2 linked regions of the Oryctolagus cuniculus genome follow. The protein of the gene in region 2 purifies or fractionates together with the protein of the main gene of each other region. This does not show direct contact. Links are inferred from orthologs where the notes say so. Each region holds a gene or a part of one and is shown on either strand. Other genes may lie near its edges.

Evidence for each region.
Region 1: the proteins of TULP3 (region 2) and IFT122 purify together in Homo sapiens (co-immunoprecipitation; 6 studies listed by BioGRID and IntAct, counting the BioPlex papers as one, with this or other methods). This does not show direct contact. The link is inferred for Oryctolagus cuniculus from reciprocal best matches to the Homo sapiens genes TULP3 and IFT122.

Annotation. Positions count from the first base shown.
Region 1 is NC_091441.1:114,431,235-114,435,755, forward strand, and holds the start of IFT122 (intraflagellar transport protein 122 homolog), read right to left. Parts: upstream 2,854-4,521; 5' UTR 2,702-2,853; coding exon 2,661-2,701; intron 1-2,660. Other genes in the region: MBD4 (methyl-CpG-binding domain protein 4), read left to right, coding at 3,199-3,287. UniProt on the Homo sapiens protein: As a component of the IFT complex A (IFT-A), a complex required for retrograde ciliary transport and entry into cilia of G protein-coupled receptors (GPCRs), it is required in ciliogenesis and ciliary protein trafficking.
Region 2 is NC_091440.1:106,431,155-106,435,486, forward strand, and holds the start of TULP3 (tubby-related protein 3), read right to left. Parts: upstream 2,904-4,332; 5' UTR 2,829-2,903; coding exon 2,779-2,828; intron 1-2,778. UniProt on the Homo sapiens protein: Negative regulator of the Shh signaling transduction pathway: recruited to primary cilia via association with the IFT complex A (IFT-A) and is required for recruitment of G protein-coupled receptor GPR161 to cilia, a promoter of PKA-dependent basal repression machinery in Shh signaling.

The sequences.
Region 1 (4,521 bases), on a different chromosome or scaffold from region 2:
CAGTGCTGTGGCGCAGCAGGTAAAGCCGGCATATGGACGCTGGTTCGAGTCTTGGCTGCTCCACTGCCAATCCAGCTCTCTGCTGTGGCCTAGAAAGCAGCGAAGATGGCCCAAGTCCTTGGGCCCTTGCACCCGCATGTGAGACCCGGAAGAAGCTCCTGGCTCCTGGCTTCAGGTCAGCCCAGCTCCGGCCATTGCAACCATTTGGGGAGTGAACCAGCAGATGGAAGACCTCTCTTTGTCTTTCTCTCTCTCTCTGCCTCTCAAATAAATAAATAAATCTTAAAAACATGAAACAGAATTATAAAAAAAAAGATACATCATCAAATTCCATGGCACAGATAGAGCGTGAATTCTCTATCCAACCTTTGTCCTGTGCCAATCTTGCACCCAGCCCACTGCACACTGAAATTCCGAGACAACTCTCCAAACCCTACACAATCACTTAGCGCCACTTACTTGTTTTGTAATCCTAGGCAAATTGTGACACCTCACTAAATCTGATTCCTCCTTTGTAAATAGGATAACAATCCCAACCTCACAGGTTGCTGTGGAGATTAACCAAGGAAACGTGTGTCCACATCTGGCCTGCAGCAGGTACTCTGTAAATACTGCTGGAGAGTAGCCTGACTGGAATAAGATGGGCCAGCAAATATGGCATCATGGGTGACATCAACCTGAGGCACTGCATTTAAAAGGGAAAACCAGAGTTCACAGACGCCTAAGAGAGCATTTGGGAAGGATCTTTGGGTAGGAAAAGTCGGAGGCTGAACTGGAAAGGATAAATTCAAATGTGAGCAAGCCCATGGGGACAGTGATCATAAGAACCACCTAGCCATAGGCACGATCTGACCTGTAATGTAAGCGCAGTCTAGAAACAGAGTCTGTCGCATGTGAAGGTCAGACTGGAAGCCGAAGAGGCAGAGGCCGGGTCAGTGAGGAAGGGCTGATCTGTGTTGAGTTCTACTCTCTGTTTTTTATAGACTTTTGTTTTGTTCTGCGTCCTTCTGGACTACCAACTGACTGTCCAGCTGCCGTCAGAACCCGTGTGCCCTCTGTTCTAACAGAAACCTACGACTGGCCAAAACCAAATAATCAATGCTTGTTCATTACTCACTCACTTATTCATCCATTCGATGAATACATGTAGCCATCAAATAGTAATAACCACCACCAACTTGACCAAGCTCTGGAATAATCCGGAAATAAATAAAATATAGCCATTGCTTTTTAAAGAGTTTCTAGACTTCTGGATTAAACAGATTAAAAATTGGCCTTTATTCTGGATAGACTCTAAGTACCACAAGAGAGAAATGAACAAAATTCTGTGCCAGGGGTTGAGAACACAGCAAATCAGGCTGCACTGGGCCAGCAAATGTTTTGTCTGGCCCACATGGTGTTTTCTTTTGTTTTTCCAGATTAGATGCCAACATGTAAAAATTAGGACATTTCAGAGAGAAGCCCAGATTTGCAGCTTCTGGTAAAAACAGGAAGATCTGAGCACACAAGGCCAGTTGCTACATGGTGGCAACGGGCAGAGTACAGCAGGCGCTCTCCAGTTTCCCACCGTCCTTGTCACTCTTACTCGGTGGCATCCAAGCCACACGTGCAGGTGCCAGGTGTCACCAGTTTGCACTGGGGGCACTTTCACAACAGAGGTATGTTTTTTTTTTTTAAACTCAAGTCTATTAAAAGTAGAAATAAGCGACACACTGAGCGCGCCACGTGTTTCAAGCGATGTAGGGTGCAAGATAGAATATTCCTAAGGAACACGGACCATTCCTTGCGTTTACCAACACGCATCTCTCATTTATGTCCCTGCCTGACCCCTGCACGCTCTTGAGTTTGTCACGCAAACTCTTGAGTTTGTAGCCGCAAAGCCATCACTCACTACGGAGATGGCTGCGGCACTGCTCGAAGGGGCCCGTAGTGGACGCCCAGGATCTCACCGTGAGATGAGCAAAGACAGGGAACACATGTCTGACCCCCGTGGCCCGCCACTGGGCCAGGGGGCTGAAAAGACCATCCAGGAAGATTCTTGAAAGTCAGGCTGAGAATCACCCACGCAGTCCGTGTTGCCCGAAATGTACCGTGGTGTGATGGGCGGTGCAGGTGACTTTTAAAGGGCACGAAACACGCCAGCCGGCGAGCAGGGCCGGGTTCGCTGCCGTTCACCTTAGCACCTTTCGAGGGCAGCGGCCACCCTCCGGGCCCAGAGGCCCGCCCCGCTCCCCGGCAGCGGCGTCCGGGCGCCTCCCAGCTGTACTTGGACACTCCCCTGACACTTAAAAGCAAGCGACACTCGTTTCTCATACACGTTGTACCTAAGTTTCCGTGGGAAACCTAAAAACCGCACTTCAGAGAAAGTTCAGTGCGGCGGTGCGGAGAAATCCAGCCACCGAGGGCACGGGCAACGCGCGGGCGCGGCGACCCTGACGGAGTTCAGCCGAGGGACCGCTCCCTGAGGATGCCCAAAACGCCTCCAACGGCCGCCGCCCCCGGGAGGGTGACCCCGCGGGCTCCCAGACCCCCGGTCCGCGGCCCTCCGCCCAGGCCGCAGGCCCGTTGCCCCTGGCAACCGCGCCGGTTCCCGCCGCGGCTGCCGCCATCCCCGAAGGCGCTCCGCCCTCCCCGCTCCTCCAGACTGCCCCGCGCCTCACCACTGCTCGACTTTATCTCTCCACGTCAGCACGGCCCTCATCGCGGTTTCCCTCACGACTCGGGCCCCTCCTCCCCGCCTCAGCAACCCGCTCCGCTCGACGAGCCAATTTGGCTACCCGCGCTACCCCTGGCAACGCACATGCGCAGTGAGCGGCGCGCGAGCGACCCCCGTAGCTCCGAGTGCGCATGCCTAAAAGGGAGGGCGAGAAAAGCAGTAAAAGCGACGAAGGGAGCCCAGAAGGCGTTAAGCGCCACCAAGGCGTGCGCCATTGGTCGAGACGGGTAGAGGGGGCGGGACGTTTTCCCCGATAAAGGATATGATTGGCGGAGCCGTGGAAGTGGTAGTTATGGAGGCGGGGGCGGCCGGAAAGCAACTGTGTAGTCTTTCCCGCGTTCATTCACTACATTCAGACTGGTTTTATCTCAGCGGCCTGAGGGGCAGAGGTTTTTACCTCTTGCTTCTCTTCCGCTCCAGGGCCTCGTAGCTCTCGGCCGTGGGTCGCAGCTGGAGCCCGCTTTGAGGGTGGCACGGCTGAGATGGAGAGCCCGAGCCTGGGGGATGGCGGAGCTGCCCCTGCGGTCTCCTGTAGCGAGCGCCCAGCCCCAGCCCAGCCCTGCGACCTCGGGCAAGTGACTGTCCCCTTTCGGGCCGCCCCTTCACCCTTGTAAAATGGGAGCTGGCGAGTAGGCGGGGTGGGCCTTTCTGGGCTTGAGGTACTGAGAGCTGGGTCAGCCCAGGGTGCGCCCCGCTTCCGGCCCCGAAGCGACTGGGGGAGCTGAGGGAAGCGAAGAGGCGCCGGGAGAGGTCTCCCGTTCGACCCGGGCCGCGGGAGCAGCAACGGGAGGCGTCCGGGCGTGCGTGTGCTGTGAGGCGAGGGTGGCCTGCCTTGTTAGGAAACGCATCCTCAGAACCGCGTCGGGGGAGGTCTTCCCGCCAGCATCGAATGCTGAAGTGGCTTGCTTTTGGGCACACGGCTAGGAAATGGCAGAGCCGTCGGTGTGGCGCGGACTGCGCAAGGTTTCTGTCCCCTCTCCTGGGAAATGCAAACTGTGGCTTCCATTAGAACAGCCCAGTCCCCAAACTATTTAACCGTGGTTCTCACTCTGGTTAGTCACTGGTTGCTGCTTAGTTTCCCTGTTTGTAGAAAAGAAGTTGGGTTAGTTGAGCAGTGGAGACGGATCCAGCGTTTAAAATGTGTGAGTCAGTGAGTAGGATGCACTTGACCGAAGCTTTTCGGGAACGGCACAGGGGAGAAGTGTTAGGCTAAGGTGTAGTGGACCTGGGTTCTGGTATCAGTTGTGCAAGTCACTTAACTTGCCTCTCACCCACTTTCATCGGTGAAATGAGAGTAAACGTTACCAATCTCACAAAGTTAGCATCATGAGGATCAAGAGTTAAAGAGATTGCGAATTCAAAATCAGAAATTATTTATTTTAGGAGGCTTGCAACATCTGGTCAAAATGAAAGACACTTTGGCCCAGAAAAACACACATATTATAGGTAAAATGTGTACCTCGTTTATTTGCAGAGGGGAGCTGGTGAATGGAGGTGATCACTCACTGAGTGCTTCAAGGGTTTCTGTTAATCCTGGACTCAGCTGTTGGTTCATATTCTCAGACTTAGACCAAGTGCCACCAGAAATCTCTATAACAGCCTTATTGGATGATTAGCATTTTTAATAGGGGTTTCCCATACTTTAAAACTCATGTTGGAGGAGAAGAAACTTCTGTGGTGGACAAGAAGATAACCTGTTGAACAAGACTGGTTCATGCTAACTTTAATCTCTCCGATTTTAACCTGAATAATCCATATGGATTCCAGACTGTCATGGGTTGATATGGAATAAGAAAAAAGGGAAT
Region 2 (4,332 bases):
GATATAAACTGGAGGCCAGGACGCTTCTAGGACAACTCCAGGTCACAAGGTCACGGCACACCTTCAGTTCTGTGTCGCCAACAAAGGCAGACAGAGCTCAGAGTTCCAATGCTCACCAAACCCGGTGGTCTGCGGGTAACCTGTGCTCGTTAAAACGCACACAACGCCCGGCTTCAAGCAAATCTGGAGTGTTGCTCCCGGCTCGGTCTCCAAGCCTCACGAAATATGTTAGAGGAGGGAAACAGTTGAAGCGTACTTGTTAATAATTCTTCCGCTCTGTTTTTCCATGAGGCGGATTTCTTTTCAACAGTCACAGAGTTCAGAGAAAAATAAAATCACTGCAAAACTAAAAGATGCTATCCTCACATAAAGTATTAATACTGAAAACTTATCAATGTATTTCATCAAAAGGACACGGAACACACAACCTGAAGCCCAACAGCAAAAGACACGCACTCCCTTTGGACAAGAGACGGATGCAACAGTGGCTACAGCAGCGAATGCTACAGTGGCAGAAGCTGCACTAACATTACCCAGCCCAGCAAACACACTCAGGGACTCACACGTTCCCCTTTGATGTCAGTTTTAATAAGCAGCTGGTTTCTCTAGGAAGAAAAAGAGGGGAGAAACTTTAAATTTACATCTTTAAACTTCAGGTACAATAAAAAAAATTTTTTGCCTCCTGGCTCTAATTTCCAAGTCCACCTCATTTTCTTTTTCTTGTTCAAACATCATGAGTCATATCAAACATCTGGTGCTCACGAAATTTACTGCTTTAAATTCAACTGAAAACTGACCGTCCACAACTGAACAAGTGCCATCTCAATTCAGAGAAACTGAGTGCTGACTTCATCTCTACACAGCATCTCCATACCTGTATTTGAAAATGTAGATTTTTTCTTTTCCTCTTGACTTGGAGGGGAAAAAAGCAACAACGAATGCAGCCATCACAAACAGGACTCATTCGGGGAGGAAAACGGGGGCTCTCTCCCTGAGCGCCTCCTCTGTGACAGCTTTTTTTTTTTTTTTTTTTGGCAGGCAGAGTGGTCAGTGAGAGAGAGAGACAGAGAGAAAGGTCTTCCTTTTGCCGTTGGTTCACCCTCCAATGGCCACTGTGGCCAGCGCGCTGCGGCCAGCGCACCACGCTGATCCGATGGCAGGAGCCAGGTACTTATCCTGGTCTCCCATGGGTGCAGGGCCCAAGCACTTAGGACATCCTCCACTGCACTCCCTGGCCACAGCAGAGAGCTGGCCTGGAAGAGGGGCAACCGGGACAGAATCCGGCGCCCCGACCGGGACTAGAACCCGGTGTGCCGGCGCTGCAAGGCGGAGGATTAGCTTAGTGAGCCGCGGCGCCAGCCCTGTGACAGCTTTTAAAAATGATTCAGAATCATCTAAACGTCTACTAGTTAAGCACCAGACTAAACCCTCAAATGCCAAGTGTTCGTTTGCCGTGGTAATGGAATAAAAGGCTGGGAACAGGCAGGACTGGCCAGTAGGATCTGAATCTTCAGACGGGAGGGCCAAAGCTTTAAGCCGCACTGCTCCTTGTTAACTTTTCATTAGCCTCGTCAACAAGAAAATCCACAGGCTGAGGTTCGGATTCTTTCCTTTCCCGGGCTTTCCCTCCGGCAGGGGCAGGAACGGGGGAGGGCACAAAGTCTAGAGTACATCAGAAAACAAGGCAGAACATCCCGCTTGAGAGGCAGCCACGGGAAAGCAGGGGGAAGAAAATCCAGTTCCCCATTTTCAGCCTGGCGACTCCCTTCCAGAACTCAGCACTGCCTGCCAAAAGCAACGGCGGTGGAGCAGATGACTAAATATCACCCTCAACCTCCGCCTGGCCTCATCGCGGGAAGTCTTGGTGGCTCCTCGGCTGAGACATGGAGGGGCAGAGCAGCCAGAGACGGGGGCCCGGCGGAGCAGGGATGCAACCACGCTGAAGCCCCCTTTCTAGTCCTTGTCGTATTCAGATGAACACAAGCTACCTGCTGAGTTTGGGACTAACTACACTGCGCATCTGCTCTCACACACACATTGCACTCGCTTGTGAATCCCAGAAAGCGGCCTTGGCGAAGCCAGCTGAAGTTGCAAAGCAATGCATCCCTCCGGGCCAACACAACCAGAGAAAGTCACTGAACTGAATTCACCCTGACAGAATGCAAAGGGGTTACTAGGAGCACAGCCCAGCAGCCGCTCTTTGCTGAACGAACGGGCTTCACCTGGGCGAAGGAGCCAGGGAAAAATCTCTTTGACAGGATACCTGGCCTCCTTCTCAGCTGTACAGAACATCCTGCCACGCCCTCCTGATAAATCCAAGCCATCAACTTCGGAGACTTATAAAATACCCTGTTACCTTGGGCGCCCTGTGCTCCTGACCAGCCAGCGGCCACGTCCTCCCTAACACCCCAGACCCAGGACGGCTGTTCTTGAATCCACGGTCTGCTACCCTCCTCATCCACTAGTGCATTAAACTTCTCCCCTTCATCTTCAAAACTTGTCCCCCCCGCGGCGTGGACGAGGACCCCGCACTGGGTAAACGAGGCCAGCTTCTCAAGAAACTCCAGGAGCCCGAGCGGCGACCTGCACAAAAAGCCCTCTCTGGGTACCGAGGGTCTGCGAGCCCGCGCTCCCCGACGCCCGCCTGTCCGAATCTGAGGGTCCCAGGTTGAAAGCGGGGAGGGGGCGCGCCGCCCCCGCCCGACGCCCCGCCCTCTCCCCCGGAGCCTCCGCCCTCGTCCCTCTGTCCGCTCCACGGGAGACCAGCCTCGTGCGTGCCTTTCCGACCTGTACCCGTGGGGAGCCAGTCCACAGCGCGACGCCTCCATGGCCGGCTCTCCGGAACGGCAAGCAGGGGCAGACCCCCAGACGCCGCTGCTGGGGTGGCAAGTCTGGCCGGCGGCCGGGCCCCGCCCCCTGGCAACCACACCCCGCACTGTCGCCGGCGCCCATTGGCCCTCGCGCCGGCCGCCCCTCTCTCATTGGATTCCTAAGGGGCGGGAGGAGCCCGGGAGTTAAAGGCGCCTGCGCCAGGGCGGGGACGCGGCGCCGGGGCTGGATCCCCTGGAGCGCTGGGCTGGGCAGGCACTGAGCGCCGGATGTGTGGGCGTCCGCCGGGCGCCTGGGCTCCCTGCAGCCGACAGGGGCGTCCGCCCGAGGAGCAGCCCACCCCCACCTTGCGCCACCCAGGGAGCGGCTTCGGCCTCGCAGCCGCGTGCATTTGCAGACCCTTGCGCCGCCCTCGCCTCCGTAACCCACAGAGAACTGCTCCAGCTCTTCCCTGGTGCACAGAGGACAGGAGAGGATGTTTCCGTCCCCCCCCCCCCCATTTCCTGGGAACCAACTACTCTCTACCAAGGCTGGGGAACTATCACTTGGTCCGGCCCTGCCAAGGCAGCTGCAGGCGGGACTCGTGGAGCAGGCTAACTTTTAAGTTGGTAATGCTCCACGGCCCACGGAGATGTTACAAATTTCCAAATGGCACTCGGCAGAAAAGAGTTCCCAACCCCTGAAGTTGTCTCCGTGGCATTTCCCATCGTCAGCTGTTTGCACATGGGTTACATCTTTAGGAGGGGCTGGCACCGTGGAGCAGAAGGTGAAGCGGCCACTTGCAAGGCTGGCGTCCTCTAAGGAAAGCCTGCTGGAATCCTGGCTGCTGCAGTTCTGATCCAGCTCCCTGCTGTTCTGCCTGGGAAAGCAGCAGCTGATGGCTCAAGTGCTTGGGCTCCAGCCACCCACGTGGGAGACCTAGATGGGGATACTGGCTCCTGGCTTTGGCCTGGAACAGCCCTGGCCAGTTTGGTCATTTGGGGAGTGAACCGGCAGACGGAAGTTGTCTCTCTCTCTCTCTCCATCACTCTGCCTTTCAAGTAAACAAATCTTTATTTAAAAAAAATTTAAAGGCATAGATCTTGGCACAAACTAACAGCAGAGCATTGAACTTACTGTGTGACCATAAACATGGCTCACTCTCTGGGCTTCAGATTCCCACCTATAAACAGAACACCTGCTTGGTCCAGCTGGGACTGCACCTGACACAGTGTAGGCTCCTGAATGCTCAGTGAATGGGGCTTAAATGAGATGCTACTTGCATAACCCACGTGACACTTTGTTGACTGGGCAAGCCTGCATTAGCTCCAACAGTATTCAAAAAGGTCCACGTTTATGTATACACCGTTATTATAAGAAACCATTTTCCTACCCTTATTTAATATTTACAGATTTAACATTTACAGGTTTCTTGGGTGGAAACACTCAAAGCACAAGCTGATCTAAGTGCCCCCTCTGTGTGTGCCACTCATCCCTGATCCCACTGCATTCACTAAGGCAGGC